Linked DNA regions of Arabidopsis thaliana. The protein of the gene in region 2 interacts with the protein of the main gene of each other region in a pairwise test. Each region holds a gene or a part of one and is shown on either strand. Other genes may lie near its edges.

The links. Proteins that work in one complex are often made in the same cells at the same time.
Region 1: the proteins of PUCHI (region 2) and MNP interact in a two-hybrid assay, tested with the Arabidopsis thaliana proteins (one large-scale study listed by BioGRID).
Region 3: the proteins of PUCHI (region 2) and LBD38 interact in a two-hybrid assay, tested with the Arabidopsis thaliana proteins (one large-scale study listed by BioGRID).

What each region holds. Positions count from the first base shown.
Region 1 is NC_003074.8:18,908,212-18,915,675, reverse strand, and holds MNP (GATA type zinc finger transcription factor family protein), read right to left. Parts: upstream 4,730-7,464; 5' UTR 4,565-4,729; coding exon 4,046-4,564; intron 3,676-4,045; coding exon 3,307-3,675; 3' UTR 3,068-3,306; downstream 1-3,067. Other genes in the region: AT3G50880 (DNA glycosylase superfamily protein), read right to left, coding at 1,346-2,167. UniProt on the Arabidopsis thaliana protein: Transcriptional factor that specifically binds 5'-GATA-3' or 5'-GAT-3' motifs within gene promoters (including its own promoter and GATA21 promoter), thus regulating the expression of genes mostly involved in hormone responses and floral organ specification (including genes regulating hormones responses).
Region 2 is NC_003076.8:6,162,587-6,170,158, forward strand, and holds PUCHI (Integrase-type DNA-binding superfamily protein), read right to left. Parts: upstream 3,455-7,572; 5' UTR 3,320-3,454; coding exon 2,273-3,319; 3' UTR 1,940-2,272; downstream 1-1,939. Other genes in the region: AT5G18550 (Zinc finger C-x8-C-x5-C-x3-H type family protein), read left to right, coding at 1-143. UniProt on the Arabidopsis thaliana protein: Probably acts as a transcriptional activator. May be involved in the regulation of gene expression by stress factors and by components of stress signal transduction pathways.
Region 3 is NC_003074.8:18,511,358-18,519,198, reverse strand, and holds LBD38 (LOB domain-containing protein 38), read right to left. Parts: upstream 4,934-7,841; 5' UTR 4,735-4,933; coding exon 4,551-4,734; intron 4,457-4,550; coding exon 3,897-4,456; 3' UTR 3,068-3,896; downstream 1-3,067.

The sequences.
Region 1 (7,464 bases), on a different chromosome or scaffold from region 2:
CCTTTATGCTGTCATAATAATAGTAGGAGTATCTTTATTTATCGATCTCCACAAATTCTTTGATCAGATTTATTGTGATAATCAATGAGAAAATAATACTCTTACTATCATTATGAGAGGTATTTATGGTTTGCATGGAGTTAGAAGTTAACTACTATAGCTTCAATTTCCCATACAAATGGAATTAGGGTTTCTAATAGAGTTGTTTAATGAAATAAGCTTTAACAATCAGAGTTTAATGATAGTCTTGAAAGAGAAGACATGATAAATTATTTTTCTGGTGGGGAGGGTTGAAGAATTAAAAGTGTGAAAGAATGAAAAGCTGGTCCACATAAGCACAACAAAACCTGCACTTTTATTTATCTCCACATGCCTCATGTCTCATTTTTCAGATTCTTTGTTTCCCACAGCTGTGTAGCACTTTTATGATCATCTTCATTTCTTACCAAATATTGAAATCAATCAACGGGAATAGATTAGCCATATACTAAACTTTTATTAAGAGGTTTGAATGTTACGCGTGACATCTTAGACTTTTAAATTCGTCTCTCTGAATAAGAGTAATTTCTTCCTATAACTATTTTAAGTTAAAAGAAAGCAAGGGTTGATTTCACATCTGTCTTGGCAAAATCAGATCCAAGCTATCTACCACTTGATCAATTGGGCCGGATGAGACATTGGGCCAAGCCCAGTACAAGACAGAAACAAAAGACTTGGTAAATAAGCCATGCTTCTCAATATCCAAGTCAAATGAAACCCCATACATGATACATGTTTACAACAGTCACAGAAATATAATCCGTGGAATACAGTTAAAATACAAGAAGGATTTTTCTTACGTGCTCCATAATTTACAGACACAAAATAACTCAGATTACCAGCAAGTGAAACTTGGAAAGGAAGTGATGGGCATGGAAAAGCTTCTTCGTCACAGGATCATATTAACTGCCCGATTACTGAAATGATTGATTGCAACAAATCACACTTCAACGATAACTACCAGATATAGAAGCTTCAGTGATAAAGTATCGTCATGTTACTTACTAGGATTGATACTATTGCTAGATAAACAAGATACATCAAGAAAAGATAAATACTTTATGATTCTTGTTTTAAGATTTGGGAGATTTCTACTTCTAGAAAGCATTCCAAACAAAAACCAATCCAGAGAACTTAATGTCAAACAAATGTTATACTCCTATCCTTTCTAATCATGTAACTGTTCAAATTTCCAAGTCAAGCATGAAATATTCTATAAAGAATCAAGTTTGTCTATGTAACATAACAATTCTAGTTACTATCAACCTAAAAAGAGAGGTATTGTTAAACTATTACCAGGCAGGTGCTATTTGGTCTTACGAGACTCGATTAGTCTCCACATGTACCATGAACCAACAGACCTATAAGGACGCCATTTCTCACAAAGCTGCTCCATTTGCAATGGACCTGGAAGATTTTTCAAACCATAAAGATCTTTCACACCTTTCCTCACACCAAGATCTCCCACAGGCAACACATCAGGTCTATGCAACGAGAAGATCATAAACATATGAACAGTCCACACTCCAATTCCTTTAACCAAAGTTAACCTATCAATCAACTCTTCATCACTCATTTTCAGAATCAATTCATCAGAAAGCACACCGTTGTTGTATTTATCAGCTAGATCGTGGAGGTAACTAGCTTTTCTCCCGGAGACACCGATCTTACGAAGATCAACGGCGGAGAGTGAGATCACAGATTCAGGAACAACACCTGCTTCTCCACCGTTGAATAGAGAGATGAATCGATCGTAGATACATTTCGCTGCTTTCGTCGCGAGTTGTTGGTATAGGATTGATCTCGCTAAGGAGAGAAACGGAGTATTACTTGAGTCGAACAGTGGAGGATCGTTGTGCGTTGTGATTAATGCTCCGAGAAGTTCATCGGAGCTTTGTAAGTGACGTAGAGCGATATCAACAGTCGATTTTGTTGATAGAGGAGGAGACGCGGTGATAATGATCCTCGGCGACGGATCTGACGAAACTTTCCTGATTTTACGAGGACGAAATCTGATTCTAGAAGATGAACCAGAGACCTCTGAAACAGTGAGATTACCGGCGGAGATTAAAGAATCCGGCGGTAACGAAGATTGATTCACGGCGGTTAGGGTTTTACGGAGAGACATGACGACGGCCGAGTTTGTTAATTGTTAGTAATTGCAGAAATTCGAAATTTTATCACTCGCGACGATATTCTTCATTGGGCCTTAATGAAAATCGATAAGCCCATAATAAAAGCCCTGTTACAGTAAAAAAAATATGATCCAACATGTTAAGTACAACAAAACAGTTATTTCTTTGTCGACGCCTGAATTGAAAAAAAATAACGTATATTTTATATGATCGTGCAGAGAGAGATGGATTAAAAAGCTGGTTACTAGTACAAAACATGTTGCAGAATCGGTTCAGTAATAAAAAATCGGAAAAAGTAAGTAATTAAAAAGGAAGAAAAACAATATTCTTGAGAGCACATATTGACACGAACAAAAGGTCAAGAAGAGAGGAGTGAGTAAAGGACAAAACGACGGTCAAAATATAAAGGAGGAAGAAGCAGAGCATAATACGACAAATATATGTTCATTAAATCACTACAATGCTCTCTGATCCAAAACTGAAAACACAACAGTACCAAAACCCACATTGGTACGATCAGAATCTAATCTCTCCCCAATTCGACGATCAGATTTCAATCTTCACTACCAAACACCCTAATTTTTATTTTATTTTCTCTATTTTTTATTAACCAATAGTAAGAATATTATTATTATTAAAGTCTCAGTTGTGAAATTCAGGGACTCAGGTGGAACTGAAACTTCTCCGTTCAACTCTAAACTATATACATTAAAAGAGTTATATCCTATGTCTATATTTTTGGTCTGTGTGTTTTCTCTTATGCACATCTTTCATTTTTTGTTTTTCTTTCTAATGTTTTGATTACATCTGTAATGTTTTATGACGATCACTGTGTAATCAATAGAAGAATCTAACTATAGTGTTTATTTTATAGACTAGAGAAGAGAAGATTTCCATAAAAAGAAGGTTATATTTTTAAAATAAATATTAGAAAATGATTTTAAAAATTGACCAGAACGGTACTTTATAGATAAACCATAAGTTAGACCGTCACTATCAATAAACATCAACATCGTCTCTCGATATACACTTCTATTTTTTTCAGAAATATTTTCTTGGTTTTTTTTTAATTAGACATAATTAAACCACATGGAAATTTTAAGAGAATCTAACGTCGTTTTCTATTCTCCTTTCATCTGGTAAAGTCATGGACAAGACTTGCCCTATCCGCTACATTAAGCCTCCAAGAAAGGAACGGAACACCGCCGTGAGCACCGTCGGATTCAACGTTGTTTGCTACTCCACTGCCGTAATCATCCATGAACCTGATCTCATTTGCCGGATAATTACACGGAACCCTCTGCGTCGAGTGGTGATGAGCCCACGGAGTACCATTATTATTGTTGTTATTAGTGGCAGCATGGTAATTATTGTAGCCAGAGTTGTGATGCCCGTACTGGTCGGTTTGAACCGGTGCAGCTCCGACGACGGTGTTTCCTGTAGCCGCAGTAGTTCTTCTCTCTTCCTTCTTGAAACGAATGCCGCATGCGTTGCATAGGGACTGCAAATTCCAAAACCATCCATATCATCATTAGCCATCAATATATCTTATATTTAATGTTCGTTCAATACATAAATCTCTATATAGTGATGAAAATATTCGAAAAGAAAATAAATTAATGTCTTTTATTGAAATATCTGTTTTAAAACTTATATTCAAGTAAATTTACTGAACCATCAAAATCATTATTTAATGTTTCTTTCAATAAATTAAACTATAGAGAAAGGGATTTATTGGTTTTAGTGAAAAAACAGATAGGCAAATATTCAAAACAAAGGGATGAACTGTCTTTTTGGTTATTGTAAATCTTCATTTCATGTGTTGATTAAAAGAAGTTGCATTTTAATAAAAATTAAAATAAATAAGTCACCTTAGGGCCTCTAGGACCATTCCTCCATAGTGGAGTAGAAGTAGTGTCACAGTTGGCACAGCGTCTAGCGAGAAGAGAGTCACCTCCGCCACCGCCTCCTCCGCCACCACCACCACCGGAACAACCGCGACTTGGCTTGTTAGCGGAGAAAGAAGGAACGTTATTGTACGGTGCCGTTTTGGAGTTGTTGTTTTTGGTGTGAATCAAGTCCCAAAAGTTGGAGATGCAAGAAGAAGCACCAGATGAAGTAGAGCGTCTACGTTTCTCATCTTCCTCACAAAGCCTCGTAGAAGGAGTTCCAAGAGAGAGAGTGCAGTCAACGAGGGAGGAAGAGTGATGATAGTCCTCACCGTTCTGCTCGAAAACGCCACCGTTTTGCATGGAGAAGACCATCGAGTAAGAACCGGCGTTGGAGTTGTTGTTGTTGTTGTAGCAGCAGCTTTGGCTATGGTGGTGGAACATTCCACAAGAATGACAATATTGCCCCTGCGTTGAAGTAGTGTACGGAGTCTGCATCATCGCTCTTACACACTTCTCTCTCTCTCTACTGGTTTGAAAACCCTAAGTGTAAAATTAAGAGAAGCTAAAGAAAATATGAAGAGATAAGTTCAGTTTGCAGGTTTCACGTTGGAGTGAAGTGTAGAATGGAGAAGAAGGTCTCACACCTATATATAGAATCAGAAATGTATATGTACGCTTATATGCAGGTTTATATTAATACGAATAGTATTTAAAATCAATAGAATATGTGGGGACGCAGCTTTTTACGAAGTAATATTAATATATCATTTACTCAAATGGGTTTTCCTTGCTTTTTTATGTTTTATTAATTACAAAATACGATGAACGATGATACAGTATCAAGTTTCTTTAGGCAGCCAAGTTAACAAGTTAAAAGATATTTTAATCACAGTTTATTTTTTCTAATTACATAACACATGCTTGGTCTACATAGAGTCTGTGTCACTGTGTGATTGTTTTGAATAATTCAACTAAAATATCCCTATTTCAAGTACGTTATGGAGTTGATTAGCTTTTAGATAAGGATGCTAATATATGAAAATGTACCGTACATTATGAAAATGTCAGTAGTAAATAAAACAAAATATGATGGGAAGTAAAATAACAAAAAGTCGAAACTATGTAGAAAAACTGATCTTGGTTTAAAAAGCGAAGGGTTTGCTAGTTGTTGGACACAAAACTTTCAATCTAAAGATGAATAGGCTCGGTAACATATGCTAAAACAAAATCATTCATTGCTAGCTTCCAAATATCATAGATTGAAGTTTGGTTTAAGTAGATATGGTAAATCTTATTGTGATGGTGAAAAACATACGACTTTTGGACCATCAAGCACACAACTCTTATTAATTCGTTATTTCTTTTTGAAGCAATTATTATGTCACTCACACACGAATGTTTACTTTACTAGAACTATGATATTGTATGAAAAAATTGAAATTATCGATTTTGTGGAGGAAATTTAACAGAAAATAAAAAACGTAGAAGAAGAAGAAGGAGAGAGTGTGATGCGATGTTGATGGTCATTGAAGAAGGGTGGTCAAAATTTAGCCCACGTGACAAGGGGGAGAGAAGAGGAAGAAGAGTACAGTCATCACTGCAAAAATCTCCGATCACGAGGCTCATATTTTTATTTTTATTTGTTCTCTTTCAATATAATGCTATAAAACCTCTGTCTCTTTCCGTATCTCTGCCCTAAAACCCTGAATCTCACGCGCTCCTGCTCAGTTGCGCGTGGCCTCGTCCTTTACTTCTCCACATCGCAATCACACGTTCGATATCTGCTCAGCCTCATGTGGTTAATGATGATCCATGATGATGTAAGTAAAATGACTTAGATTTGGTTATTAGATTTCTTCAAAACTTGCAGCTAGCTAGAGTCTACTCTACTCTTGTCGTCAACGAATACTAGTCTTCGTCCCTATACAGAATTATTTTATTTTTTTGGGATTACGTATGTTAAATGCTTTAACTACTGTTACTAATAAAACCCTATTTTTATTGAAAACATGGACTCTCGATTGGTTGAAAAAGAGCTTACGCTAGGGGATATAATGCATTGGCCGATCTAATTTTTTTTTTTGCCGAACACTATTTTTTGAAAATTTTGTAATCAAACAAATAAAAGAAAGAAAGTGTATATTCAAAAAAAAAAAAAATTAAAAGAAAACTGTTGAAATAGTATATGTTTGTACGTTATAAAAACCGATCAAGAAAAAGATGACGGTTGTCCAAAAAAAAAAGGACCAAGATGCTGAAATCACAATTCATGTACTGATAACTAACACTTCACAGGGACGCGGTTAACCGAGTGCTTTGATATCTTGTAGTTGTAGATAATGTCTTGTTTTTCTATATCATTCTCTCCAATTTACTTAAATGCATATTGGGCATGTGATCAAGATGATTAGTTGCTCTTTTGTTTTCTTCTGTATAGGTCTCGTTCCAATTTCATCGGATGTTCCGATGGAACGATTAATTACTCTTCTATTGATGTTTATATCGGCTATTTGGACTAACAACCTATTTTATGGCAAATTTAAAAACATAAGAGAGTTGCTATATCAACACTAACCTTAGTTGACTCACATATCTTTTTCTAGTTCGCATTATTAGTCTCCCTACATAACCAACAATCTACAATGAGAATATCAACGCGATATTGATGTGTCAACCTTATATTTCATTAACACACAAAAAGCATTTTCTTGATTGCCATTTGTTCGAAAACATATATTTCTTCATATATGTGTATTTAAGATTGGTTGGTTCGACCTTCAAAATAATTTAGTCATGAAATCGTCTTAGTTTTACGTTTACTTACATTATTTTGTTTCTAATACTCTAGATGGTTTACCTAATGTCTACACAAAACATTTTTTTATAATTACATTCAGACTACAAGAGAGTATTATATTGTAGAGTATTTTACATGAATTTTTATATAATGTATTCGATCAAAATTTCGGTTTACTAGCTAAACAAAAACAAACGAGGCGGTGTTACTTATCGTAATATGCTGTATAATGGATTATATTTAATCAGAGATAAATTAAACATCTTCAGTATTCTCATGTAAAAATAGAAAAAAAAAATCCTCAATTAGTCTCACTAGAATCACTCATAGTCGTCGTATGGCTGAATAACGTATCGAAAACCATGAGAATCCAATTCTTATTGGGGTTTTTAATAAAGAGAAACGAATTTGGAATCATAATGATATGAGAATATCCAAGAAGATTTGGAAGAGGTTTAGAGTAACAAGAAAAATACTGCATGAAAAGAAAAGCTAATAGATTAGATTGTGAAGAACCCAAAAGATAAAGGGAAGAATCCCCTCTATTCAAGTGAAGTACCTTCCTACAATCATCAAAGCAACATACCCCCAATTAACCAAT
Region 2 (7,572 bases):
TTGAACCTATAACAACAACAACTGGTGGCTCAGAAACTGTGGCTGCTGGAGTCTCTTCTATGACCAGTGATGTGAGCCATCCCGAGCCTGCTGAGACCAATAAAGGTGATTCAGCTAGCAATGAGGCTAAGACTTCAAGTTAAAGAGACAAATCTTAAAGGAGAGAAGAGAATCTCTCTCTATTCTTCTTAGATTATTATCTCTCTTATTCTCTCTATATCTCTCTTCTTCTTTTCATCAAACTTTCATGAACTCAGGAACATAAAAAGGATATTTTTTGGGTGGAGAGACAACAACAGAAAGCAAAGCAGAGAGATAGACGAAAGGAGTTCTCTCTACTCTTCTATGTCATGTCTCTCCTCTTAGGTCTCTCTTACCATGTTCATATTATTCCTTCATACGGCCATCTCTCTGTCTTTTGTTCTTCTTTTTCTTTTTGGAAACGATGATTAATAAATGGCCTTATATATTCACAAAAATCCCCTGTTTATTTTTAAAACTTTATGGAATATGGGAATTAACTAATTAATAGTCCAATTTTTATAGACTTATGCTTGCGGATGTTTTCATGTATACATGTCAAAGTATTTTCTTTTTTTTAATAGAAAAGTACAACATGTTATACAGTAAACGCAACCTCAATATTCGTTTGAAGCAATCCGATTCTAAAGATTTGTTTGGAAGAGTAACAAGAAGTGGAAGAGCCTGACGAAACAGAAAGCAGAACAGAACAGATCTTAGGGTCACGTTTCTTTTTTTGTTCTACATTCCATTCCGTACGACGTTGATCATGAGATACAAACGTAAATATAAATGAAAAAGAAGTTAAAAAAAAAAAAAAACTACTGTTAATGTGGAAGTAGTAGTCAGTAATTCTCGTACTTGGTTCTTTGTGTTGGTGATATAACATGTGCATGTGTGTGGTTTGTTCGTTGCGTCTAGTTTTACTCAAACAACAGAAAAACCATAATCATGAGTTTGTTCACTGAAAACATCACAACTAAAGTTCTCAACAACCCAATAAAAACTACTCCTAATCATTAAATGCTTTTTCTCTGAGTTACTACTTAGATCTACCATAATTAAGACTGTTTAAAGATTAAAGATATACATGTCTTTATATACGAGTTACAGTAGACTTCACATAGTTGTGGAGATATTAATCGATTGTTTAATTCTTTTTAAAATTAAAATATCGATTGTTTTAAAATATTTTTCACATACTCTACAGTCTTTATCGAGTTAATTTATTTTTTTCTTATAGTAAAATGAACATTTTGCCTAAATCGTTATATATATTGACGCATGCAAAACAGATAATTAACAATACAAATTTCAGTAACTATTTGGAAGTTATTTAATTTGAAGCTAGACAAATTGTGAAGCATATATATATATGATGAATTCCCAACGTATATATGTTTGACTAGTATAACAGGATTGGATCTTTGTTGAGTTAACAAAAAAAGTGTATAGTTGATCAACATTGGAGAAGGCACTAATTGAGTTCTATGAAAGAAAGTCAAAAACCTTAAACAGATTTAAAAATGAAATAAAGAGTTGTGATGTTGAGTTGTTGTAGACAAAAGTTAAGGCAAAATATAGGCAAAAGGAGGGAGACATGAAACAGTGATTGTGCAATGAAATACCAAACAAGTCATGACCAAAACACATGTTTAACGACCAAAAACACCATCATGCTACTTCACTAAAAGTCCATCTCACATTCACTAATTTTAAATTTTAAATTTTATAACTTAGACTCTCAATTATGTTATAATTCAAACTAACGTCAAAATTTATAACTGTCATAAAATAATCATAATATCTGAGCACATACTGATCAAAAATAGAAAAATGGGGTATTTGCATCTGATCTTATAATCCTAATATTACATGTGATATATTAGTTGTTCACTCCGATCCTAGTCATTTATCCGTTTGGAGCAAGTCATTTGATTTCATTATTATTATAATATAGCACACTTATAAAATATACATAATGAGTGTGTCGAAGTAGCATGGACAAAAAGTGGTCTTTAATACAACTCGGATTATCCCTTTTTGCTAATCAAAACCATAATACAAATTAAAGAAAAAACAAATCAAAACTTCAAGGTAAGGTAACCTTATGATGCATGAAACAATAAGCAGGATTTATATAATAAAGTCGATAACATATAGTTAACAACAACAATCAAACGACCATCGAATAACGTAAATACTAATAATATTATTGCATATATAAAAAACATATATAATATAGAATGTTCTAAAAGACTGAGTAGAAGCCTGTAGTGTCTGCAACGACATCTCCAAAAGCAGCGATAGAAGAAGAAGATAAATCTTGCGGCTCCATCATCCCGTAATCTTCCATTGACATTGAAGCGGCAGCAGCACCATAGTTCGTGATCATGGCAGAGAGATCACACGAACCAAACTCATGATGATTCATCATCATCATCTCACCATCTTCGAAGTAGCTATTACTAAACCCTCCATATGGTTCAGAGGCTTTGCTTGCTACCGGAGTTGTGAAACTAGCTCCGGCTTGATTTTGGGTGGTGGTGGCCTCCGGAGGTGGTTTAAGGCAGTGGTTTGGGACAATGCAATCCAAGTAACCCGAGTTGTTATTGGACTTATTATGTTCTTCGCTTGTTAAAGAGAAGAAGAAGTTGTTTTCTTCGTCTAGTGAAGAAGATAACGAGCCGTTAGAAGATGAGTTTTGAGGACTATTACCAAACGCTTGAATATCCACGCTTTGATGACGAACTGGCGTTTTGAAAGAAGCCGCGGGTAAGACAGTTTGGGGGAGAGTGTGTTTAGGTTGTTGTGGTTGATGATAGTTTTGATAATGAGGATGATGATCGATGACAAACTGTGGAGAAGAGTTTGGTAAGAAAGATTGGTTGTTATTGTAAGGAGAGACAATGAGAGAGTGGAGATTAGGGTTTGTGAGGATGGTGTGGACATCAGTTGGAGTGTAGACGAAGTTGGTTCGAGCTTGAGTACCTCTCATTGAAAGAGCAGCTCTATCGTAGGCAAGAGCAGCTTCGTGAGCTGTGTCGAAAGTGCCTAGCCAGTGACGTTCTTTGGTGGTTGGATCTCTTATCTCGGCTGCGTAACGACCCCATGGACGTCTCCGGACTCCTAGGAACCTCCCTGGCTCCGCTTGCTTTGATCTCCGGCCTCGTCTCTCGCCGGTTGTGGTGGTGGTGGTTGTGTTGGCGGATGTGTTTTGGTGGATCAGAGCAAAACCCATTTGCGTTTGGGATGTTTCAAATGGTTTATTATGGTCTAGGGTTTTGGAGGTTGACATGATGATGAAGAAATGGTTTTTTTGAAAGGAGGTTTCTTTTAGGGTTTTGGTTAAAGATATCTTATGATGAGTAAGTTTTTTTTTGGCTTTGCTTCTGTCTAAAGATGATGGTGCTGTTTGAGAATGGAAGTGAAGTGTTGTTATAAATAGAGAGACAATGAGCTTGATAGAGAGAGAAGATAGAGAGACTTCACTTTTGATTCAACTGCTTTTAGTAGACCATCTTTTGTTTTGTTTCTTTTATTATATTTCCAAAGATATTATATTTTGCATCAACGACAAAAAAAACAAAAAAAAAAACGCTGACACATTAGTTGGATTTTTATATGGCTTAACCAGCTGAAATAAATTCATACAAATTTTAAACAGCTTAATTGACTGATTATTATTAAGGGTTTCTTTTTTTAAAACAGTCTTAATTTTAACTGTGTGTACAGTATATATATGTATGTATATACACGGATGGCTACTTATGAAAGCCTAAAACAGAGGCCAAGAATCATTGGAACTACAGCAAAATCTGGAATGTCACAGTAACCAATCTCGAGTTAGAAGAAAGAACAAGTAATAAATACATACTAAGTACCGAGTAACTTAAGAAAAGTAATTGTGATGTATATATTGCATCATCCTATTTGAATCTTCTATTTCAATGGGATCAAGCTAATTGATTAACTCAAATAATCTACTTAGTGGTCACGTGCAACATGCATAATAACCCTACATACCTTAGCCTAAAGGTCAAGGGTCTACGTAAAAATAATCGATATATTTCTTTAGGTTAAATCCCCTACTTAATTGATATATCCTTGAGATGATATGCATGCATTGCTAATTACGATAAGGATGTCCAATTAATTTGAGTGCACTGAGGTAGGTTCGATAATGTTATTTTCTAACACAATATATCAACAATTCAAAAATAAATATATTTCAAAATCAGTGTTAGTTTCTACAACCCCTGATCAAATCACATGGTTACCCGCATTTTAAGCGGAAATAGAAATGAGAACAATTTTGTCACCTTGTTCTGATTTTTCAATGGGAGTGGTTTAGAGAAAGACACGATGAACTAAACAAAAATTAAAATGCTTAGGAAGTACGTATAAATTTGGTTTTAATTAAATAGCTCAGTGGACAATTTTGTATTGATGTCCTTGTATGCAAAGTTGCAAACAAGCACAAGTCAACAACAATCTTAGTCTCTTTGTGTTTGTAGTTTTGTAGGATTATATATATATACATAGGAGCTTCGTCTATTTTCATATATGATTGCATTAGGAAGTTAATGCCTTACCCGACAACAGTTCTATTGATGAATCAAGAAAATTGCTCATAGTCAACGATAACACGACTGTTAAGTAAGAGTTCAAAGAAAAACAGAACAATTAGAAGATGACTATGAGCTCTAATCAAACTCTGGATTATTTAGTTTAGAGACTTTAATCAAACTTTTCAAAAGAGTAAGAACACTTACGTTTCAGTCATTGTGGAATTTAGATTGATATTTTTATGTATTCCATGTTCGAAAAAATGTATAATTAATAGAACGTTCTAGTTAATAAGAGAGTACATATTTTCATTAACTAATTAGTCTTGGGAAGAATACATATACAAAAATTCTTATAGTAGAACTCAATAAAGGCAAACATATAGATTTGGTGTGATAAGCTTTGATCTGTATTGAAATCTTTTTGGTTAAGTGTTAGTCTGTTAGATAATCTTTAGTATATCTAATTTGATGATGTTATAAAAGGCTAATGCTCATATATATGGATAAGTTAGTACTTTTGGTGTGAAGTACGTAATATGCAAGTATATATTAGCCTTTTTAGCAAAAACTTACGTAAATATATACGAGCATTAATAGAAATCCTGCAAATGACTACACAAGTTTTTGTAGCAAAAACAAATACTACGTCATATAAGCCACGTAAACCAACAATCAAATTAATTAGATTTGAATGAATACCTTGCCTTTTTAACCGAATGGGCTACGGTACAAAAGTGTGATGGACTCCTTGTATTAAGGGTTGGAAATGTGACGATTCTTGGTAAAGCTTTTTGCACATTGCTTAATGGCATTGGGAATGAAAATTATAATTCTTTTTTCATAGTATAAATGAGTCAAACTATTAATACTATAATATATGATGATATTAATTTTGGCTCTTTTAGAATTATATCTTTGACTAATACAACAGTAATACAATTGTGGTCGGACCACGATATAGTCATCATCTTCTGGTGCAACCGTTCCGATCCTAGCGATACAATTTACCAAACACACCAAAAATGTTGTGCGCCAGATATAACTCTACTGAAGTTTTATCAAAACAAAGATTAATTTTACCTAAATTTATATCGGATTATTAGGCCGAAATATAGAGTGGTACTATACAACTAATCAATTGTATAGGTAGGAATGTTTGCATCAAAACTGTAGGCAAATTTTACAGAACTTTAATTCGTGTCCGGATGTTACATAGAGTTCTAAAACGTAATGATTAGAATAAAGTAATAAATGCTTAATTGGGTGAATTTATTAATATATGTCATCCCTTTTAAGAATTGGGGTTAAAGACAAGCTTAAGCTATATAAGAATCAGACGACCCTTGACTACTCCACTAAGATTTTGAAGTTGATGTGGGACTAACCTTACATTTGATTATTTTTCCCGTATACATAAATTGTTTTTACGCATTATTACCACTGAAATTATAATTAGTGATAATGTAATTCAATCAACTATACATTGGTTTTTCTTAAATATGATAATTTATCTACACCTATATTCATTATATTTATCTAAAAGACGAAGATATTCTCGTATAAAATTGATATTATTTTGTCGAAATGTTTTGGAGTATTTATAATGAGTCAAAAATAATACATGAAAGTATAATTCACAGCAAGTCAGCAACTAATTAATACCTAAACTTTTGGTATTTATGCCTCATTATTTTAGTTCATCAAATTTGAAAAGGAATTTTATATATATACATATTGAGATTCATAAAAATTATAACTTATGAATATACAAAAAATACTATCCCATTGGTTAAATGGTTATAGTTCAATATTTTTGTTATGTTGCACGGGATAATTGTTTACTTATAAATGTCGACGTTTGCTATTGTTAATATAGAACTTACGTAATGGTTGAAAGATTTGAAGTTAATCTGAATTTTCCCTACAAAAACTCAGAGAGGCAAAAATAAACTATCTCTTTGTACGTGTTTTCAAAATATGGGTAAATAATTTAAGATAACATGTGATAATCCCAACTGGCTTTGTGCACGATATTGGGATTGCACTATTGAAGTATTGAACACTTTTGGGTGGAAATCTTTTTAGTCAAGTTCCATGTGATCGAGGCTTTCTTGGGTTTATGAATGGAGAATTTCTTCACATTTCTCCAAAAAAAGGCAAAGGAAATATTCAGAAAATTTTGAACAGCTAATGAAAAGCCAAAACTTTTTCTTATGAAATTTAATAAATTTGTTGTGATTTAAATTTTCTTTTGTGTCAAAAGGACATCCCCGGGATTTAGGGGTAAAGGTTGTCTTAGAACAAACTTGGACTTTGACGAGAGTCTAGACAGTGTGACCAAAAAGCCAAGTGGGGCTTCACTATTAGTTTGCTATTGAATTACATATGTTTCCGACAAAACAAGGTCATGAAGATTCAAATTAATTAGTATCAATAGTTATTCTTACTAAATTCGTTTATATTTATCAATCCTGTAATGTTTTAAATGAATTTTTTTTCATCTAAAGAAAGTGTAAATTAAGAATGATGATATCCTATTTAACAATTTCGATTTTTATGTTTAAAAGTTTGATGTCTTTCGGTATTATTCAATGTTTTGCTCAGAAACCAGAGGATCCTACTTCTTCTTTTCTCTGTGTGATTGCACTCGTGTATATTAAATTAATAATTAAGTTGTTCTAGAATTTGGGTAAATTATTGGAAAGTTATAAGCTCCGATCCTTTTATTTACTATCCATTTGTAATTAAAGTCAGGTGATCAAAACACACTCGTGGCACCTAGTAATATATCATAATTCTATCCTAAATTATGTTTATGCTCTCCATGTGCTTCTCTCTATCTCTCTCTAATAGCTTTAAATAATAGTTAGATTGCTTACATCGTTAAATAATTTGTATATTAATGACAACATACGGCATATAAAATATAGTTTTTTTTGTCGACTATAGAGCTTTGATTAGAACTAAACAAACAAGAACA
Region 3 (7,841 bases), on a different chromosome or scaffold from region 2:
CTAAATATTTTAAATTAAAAAGCTATATAAATATCATACAATATATAAAAATTCATCTATAAAAAAAAGTTACAAATTGAATTTTAAATATTTTAATGAATTATATTATACAAAGAGAATTGCATTTACGTCATTCAAAAATTTAGACTTAAAGATTTGTGATTTTAATTTAAAATTTTATAATATATTAAGGAATCTTGAAATCATTTTTTAAAGATATTTTATATATTTTTTAATATATAGAAAATATTACAGTTTACAATCATGTACATTTGATAAAGGATTATTAAAAAAAAAAAAAAAAGACGAAGAAATAAGGACCCTATGGAAAAGGAATGAATAATTAGATCTCATTTTCCTGATTGGTCCAATTTACACTATACACATTTAGAGACTATGTATTTAACTAGTTATTCAGCTCAATGAGAATTGACAAACTATATTAACGGTTATTGAGTGGTTAATAATGTTAGGTGAGCAGAAGAAATAATTTTTCCAAGAATACAAAATGATTAATTTGTCGGTATATATATATATATATATTCTATTTTTATCAGGACGTATGTATTCTCTAATTCGTATCGTATATGCACATCTTCTAGTTACTTATTACAACATGAAAAATGATTTAGTCAAAGATAAGAAGCTATTGTAGGACCCAATAGGTGAAAGAGTGGATTATGTGTTCCAGCGATGAGGGAACCAGTCACGTGAAAGTCACGTGTCGCATCCATTTCACGTCCTTGTCGCGATCTCTCCCAAATCTTCAACACTGATCCTTTCTAGCTCCTCCAAAGTCTCGTTTAAATTTACAAAAAACAGCCTTCGCAAAGGATTATGATTAGCACTTGATTATCTTAGTGACGTTCTCATTAATAATCATACTATAAAACTTGAATCAATCCGACATTAGAAGAGTCGATAAAGATCAAAGACTAGAGTTATCTTATTTTTATATTTTATTTGTTAAACTCTATTTTTGCTTTAAGAAAAGAATATCCTAATTAAGTGTAAATGAATGTACGGCCAACAAAAGATTTGAAGGGGCAAGATGGCTCTTGGGTCCTCACCTTACTCGAAGAATGATCACACAAAACCCTAAGAACCACAAAAAATGTAGACCAAGCTAAGTCTTATGATCATCTATATTAATAACAAAATCAATCGTTAGAAATTAGATAGTGATATTGATCCACAAGAAACTTATTCGATAAACTCTTGAATAGCAAAAGACTTGAGAAAACTAAAAGCAAGAAACAAACAATTGAGATTGTTTTTTAAAGAGGTTCATATACAAAATCTCTGGGGATAATCGGGACATGATGACATTCAGTTACAAAAATTTCCAAATATGTGTTGTAGAAATTAATATATCACTTTTTTTTCTTTTTTTGAATCATTGTAATGTAAAATTTATTAAAAAGTCTTTGGTTACAATATATGCAGCTTTAAGCATAACGTTTTTTGAGTTTCAGAAAATTAATATATCACTTTGTATAGTAATGTACGAAAAAATTCATCAAGAACTATGTACGGTTACATATCAAGATGTTATGGTCTAATGTGTGTTTACCGGTTGATAAAATGTTATTTGGTAGCTAATATTCAGCTAACCCTAGTTTTTGTTTTATTTGAGAGTCAGATAATCATGTATATATAACTTTTGCAAAAATAAAAATTGAAATAATGAGAAAATATTACTTTACTATTATCATTCATATATATATAACACACCAAAAAAAAAATCATATATATATATATATATATCCAAAAACAAATCACTTACTTAATTCTGTATTTTATCCAGAATCATTATGAATTAACACACCAAAAAAAAATCATATATATATATATATATATATCCAAAAAAAATCACTTACTTAATTCTGTATTTTATCCAGAATCATTATGAATACCAACTTGATTTTGATGGTCTTAATTAATTATTTGATATTCTATTTTTTTGTCGTTATTTGATATTCTATTTAGATTGACTAGTTTTCTTGTGATCATTTGATAATCCACGTCGTTTTGTTTTCACCTTCAAATTTTTTTATTGATCACCATGTTTTTTGGAATACACAAAGTAGTAAATGTTTCATAATCATGTGAGACCTAGGGTTTTAATTTTCAACTTGATTATTTAAGTTTAGTTATTCCTTACTAATTTAACTACCATTTTCTTGACATTCATACCAAAGACAAATAATTAACTAAAGTTTTGTTCGTTTTCGGAAGAAAAGTTTAAGAAAACATCAAGTGGACTCACACACACCGACTTAAGTGGAGAAGGTGATGAAAGTATTGGGCCCATAAGAAACTGCGGCTGCTCGTGGCTTTTGGCATTAAACACGAATCTTGCTAATGTTATTTTATTCTCATTATACTTGATGGATTCATGTTTATCCATCCATATTGTTATATTGTATTCCCCAAATTTTTAAAAAGCGAATTCGTCTAGTATAGTTAGCTCCATAGTTTAAAAGTAGAAAAAGAAATTTAGCTCCATAAATTTTGTAACTCATGATTAGACACTAATTAGATGTAAAAAACAGACGAGATTGAACGAATGATGATACCCGGTTGTTGATAAAACTTGAAATGGTCAGAACTAAAAACTTATATTTTTCAAAAATAACATAAAGAGTCCGGTGGTCGGAAAAGGAAAGGAGAGTGACGTGGACCACAAGCAATTGTTTGCCCACTAGTGACTGGCTGGTCGAAAGTATATTTAAAATATGTCCCACTTCATAAGATCTTCAAATCACTTCTTCTGTTCCAACAACAATCCATTCTCATTTCAACGTTTCAAAAGCAAACATGTTATTGGTCAATTTCATTGTTTCTACGCCATCATCCATAGAGCAACAATACCTTGTTGTTTTTATTAAACAAAATGTGAAGAAGAATAGAAGAACAATAAAAAAAGAGTGCTTTTGAAGATTCCACGAAGGTATGAAGTGTGACATAAACGGCTCTTTGCGTCGTCCAAAAGCCGCCTCCCCCAAAAGCTTTCCCTTTATAACCCCAACTTTTTGGGTTCAACCCAACTACATGCATTATATAATGCATATCTACTCTATACATACAATTACTTATATTATGTAATGCACCTTGTTTAATCTTTTTTAGAGTTTGTATTCATCCGGAGAATGTGTGGTAGACTAATCTTAAACATAGAAAGAAACACATGAAGATGTACATATGCCATTGAGAGTGTTGCGAAGAAGACCGTTGCAGTACTAGTATAGGATAATTTGAGATATCACAAAAAGATCATCACATCTCGAGGAATACGTACTATTGTGTTATACTATTACTAGGTATCATTAAACCATTGAATAACAAATGTAGTATCGAAAGACAATAAACCTGGAGATAATAAATGCTAATATTTTGTTTTGCGAGTAGTAATCAAGATGATTATCAAAATAGCAAGTTGTGTATGATTGTGTGTACATTACAACATGTTGGTCCTTAAAGAATCGAAATATGTTGGGTGCGAAGACTTTGCCGGTGCTTTGGATTTGGAGAGATGTATATTTTGACTCCGATTCGTGATTATTATTATTAATGTTGAATATGTCGATAAAAACAAATAATTTAGTAGCTAATAAGTATTGATTTATCGTACACATTATCATTGTTATCTTTTAATTTGAATTCGATGAGAATGATGATTAATTGATTATGAACTAAAAATAAAATAGTACACCACCGACGAATTATATCATTATTCTCTATTACTTTGGATAATTTCTCATAATTAAAGAGAGAAATAAATCACGTAATTTGCTACATTTCACAAAATATTAAGGGCTATTAATCCAAAAAAGGCCACAACAAAAAGTTACTCGAAATTACATTTTTAACCCTCATAACAAAAACGACGCCGTTCAAGCGAAGAGATTGAGCAACTTTGTCGTTGCTCCTCCTCCTCCTCCGCCGCAGCGTACGTACCGATCACCGGCGTTGTTGTTTTGAAACGAAACCGTGGTAACAGACTCCTCCGAGTACATCGACGGTGTATCTTCCTTAAACGGCAAGGTTTTAATCGGATAAATAGGAATAAGAGAGAGATCAAGCTCCGACGAAGGTTGTTGTTCCGACGATAATCGTTTCCGTTTCGGCGGAGAAGCTGTTGATCTTGATCTAGATCTAGAGCTTGAGAATCGGCAGTGATGATAAATGTTCCGATCACCGGAATCATCAGCTTTTCGTAGATTCAACATTTCCGTACAGATCTCCGAAGCTTCGTCGGAAGTAGGAGACGGAAACCCGGCGAATCCACCGCCGTTAAGAAGCTCCGGTATTGGTTTTAAAGAACCACCACGAAGCACCGTCTCAACCGCCGCTTGACAAACATTCCAATTCCCCGTCCACAACAATCCGACGGCTCCGTTCACCGGATTCACAGTTCTCCCACAAGCTTCGTATAGCAAAGACTGAAACAAAGCTGTAAAAAGACCAAATACCCTTACCATCAGAAACCAAAACGACAACGTTTAGACGAAGATCTAAAGGACCGAGAGGTTTTTGTTTTTAAGTACCAGGGCATTGAGATTCCGGTACGGCGGAGATGAAAGACATTAAACCGGCACGGCCGAAGAACTTAGCGACGAAGACGGTGGCGTGGCCTTGAGCTTCAGGTGATTCGATCCATTGAATACATGGACGGAGGATGCAATTCTCACTGCAACCTTTTCGTAGAACTCGACAACCATTGCAACTCATTATTTTCAGAAATCTTTTAAGTTAGTATTTTATCTTTGGTTTTGCTATAATCTTGGAGATTCAAAAAGCTTTTGGTACAAGAAAGAGAAAGAGAGAGAGTGGGACAAAGTGTTTCAATGTTTGGTTGAAGAAGAAGAGTTATGTAATATTTATAGACAATAGACATTGATACTTGAGTGAAGGAATGGGTCATGGCTTTGAGATTTTATTATATTTTAATAAAAATTGGATAATAATCAAAGTTTAAAGAGCCCTACCAAATTACAAAATAGAATGATTGCTACAAAATATATTTATTTTATCATTAACTGAATTTAATTTATGCTATAGTTTATACAAAAAAAAATGTTATGTTAGGTTTAATTATGAAAGTTAAAAATGGTGTGTGGTTGTTGACTAGTTGGTGATGAGGAGAGAGGAAGAAAGAGAGATTCCAAGGTGATGGGTGCGAACGGCTCCGTGTCCCCGCGAATAGTTGCCTCCTCAACCATTGGTTCTTTTTTTCTTTCTTTATAAATTTCTCATTTCTATTCTTTTTCATATTCTTTACTTGCTTCATTTCTATATAAATGTTTGCGTCATGCATGAACGATCTCGATTATTTGATGGCAGATCTCAATTCTATCTATCCAGTGTTTATTCGTTGACAAATTTTTCGAATCTTCATGTCTCAAACAAAAATCAGTGTGATTAACATATATTATCGATTATCGGTGTAAAGAAAAGAAAAAAACCTAGCTTCTCATCTAACAACAACAAAAAAAACACATAGATTCTCAAATGAAATAACGCACTTCAATTTCAAAATTGAGATTTATAACTAATTAGATCATATTCTCTCTAGTTCGCTATTATTTGTTGAGCTATATAAGTGCCTCTCTTAAACTATTGGTCTCTATGAGTTTTATAAATATAGATATGGTTCATTCGTTCATGCAGTACGTATACTTTGTAAACAATTTATTTATGAAACCAATGAGATTGTTTTGTTTAGGGTTAAGGCTAAGCTGACCCTTCAACGAAACAAATCCACTACCTGACCCTTAAATCAACCTTAAGGGTTTTGATAATTTAATATGAAAAATGTTTTAGAAGAAAGATAGAGGCGTTTTTTTGCCTACGATGCTGTCTCACGTGTGTGACCAAATCAAACATTTCTTTTCTCCTTTACATTAGCTAGTAACAAAATCAAATATATGATGAACAGAAGATCTACAACAAAATGATATTAATAAGTCAAAGTGTCTTCTTCTACTTTCCTATAGCAATGCGGTGAAACGGCGCCGTTCATGGCTTACGTGGTGTGCTTACCTACACTCCAATTAGGCAAATTTTCCACTGAATGCCGCCGTCTCTTTATATTTCTTTATTCCCAATTACTTCAGTCCATTAGTAATTTAAAAATGCATTATTGTTTCGTTGAACTTCTGGTACCTAAAGTTCATTTGCTTAATTAGTCGACACAAGACACTTGAACGCGACAGTTTTGATCAACAACGACATAAAATTGGTGTTAAACAGATGCTTAGATGTTCGATAAATCAACTACTTATTTTTACAACGGTATTCCTATTTTAAATATCAATCTTATAACATAATTTCAATCTCAATTTTTGAAAATTAGTATTGTTTTGTGGCCCTTCTTCCAAAAATTTATTTTCTGAAGTGAATGCAACAAGATAGATTTTACCTTTATATATTTAGTAAAATCAATGTTATAAAATAGATTATAAGTTAGACGTACGGCAGAACACAATAGAAAAAATATTATATATACTTCAATGTTTATGATGTACAGTGGGAAGTCATATTGCATACAATAGAAAAACCAAAACTATTTCTTTGAAAACAGAACAAAAACAATGTATGAGACTTGTAAACTATTGAGAAGAAATGAAAGAAATTGTCAAATAGAGGTTGCACAAATTGCATTCCTACTTACATTCATTGATGTTCATTATATTATGCTATAAAACCTAATTACATGGTTAGATAAGGTGGGTTTGTGGACTTGTATTTCATGAGTCTATGGACTTGTGTTGGGCTTTAACATGTCCTCTTTCACGTTGAGTTCTAAATGATTAAATACTGGGCTGTTAATTGGGATATAATTTCTCAGCTATAAGAGCCGGTACACTATGTCACTATGGGCTCTACTGCATTTTTCGTATGGTCCAAAGTCCAAACAATGAGTCTTTGGTAAATTAATAGTTTAACACCACTTTAACGGTACCATGCCAAAACTAATTTGGATGTTATTGTAACGCTCGAGGGCCTTATTAGGCCTTATTACAAGCTAATAAGCTATATACTATGCCCACAAAAATTGGTGAAATTCTTTAGTTTCTAAGTTTCTAGCAATATAAGAAGACAATAGTACAAAGAGAATGAATGACCAAATCTTACAGACTTATAACACAAGCATTAGGTTATAGCCTAATAGGTAATGTAAGATGTAAGTATAAGCAGTAAGCTGCACGACATATTTTCCGTCTTATTTAGCAAGGTATTATTATTATTTTTTCCCACACCATTTTAGATTTAAAATTTTTGCTTTTGTCTTTTCAAAGCCAAATCTTAATTTGACGAAAAGTTTATACCGAACCGCATAATATCACATATATAAACAACATTTTTAAGGGATGAGTTTTCTGAACTCTAAATAAAAATCGGTTGACAAGAAAAAAACAAATCTTAAAATAATTCCAAAAATTCTTAACCATCAGATACTACAATATAGTTATAAAGAATAATTATAAGTCAATTTTTTGTGCCACCAAAAAAACAATATTTTCCCGGCATTTAATTCAGAAAATACCCAATATCCATATTTTTCTCGGAATGTATAACTACTCTTTTTCTTAGAAGATACATAAGAACTGGGATCGATTAAGACGTGTAAGATATTTATCGTAACAAATTATACAATTAATTAATTATTAAAAGACTCGTAAAACTCGTGAAAACGAAATAATACAGAATTATAAAAATAATTTAAGCGTGGAGGGAAGTGTGAGTGCCAACCAATCAAAGTCGACAAGCCACTTAAGGATTAGCTTCGTTAGGTACTACTAACCGATCTATCACTACTTCAATAATTAATACTA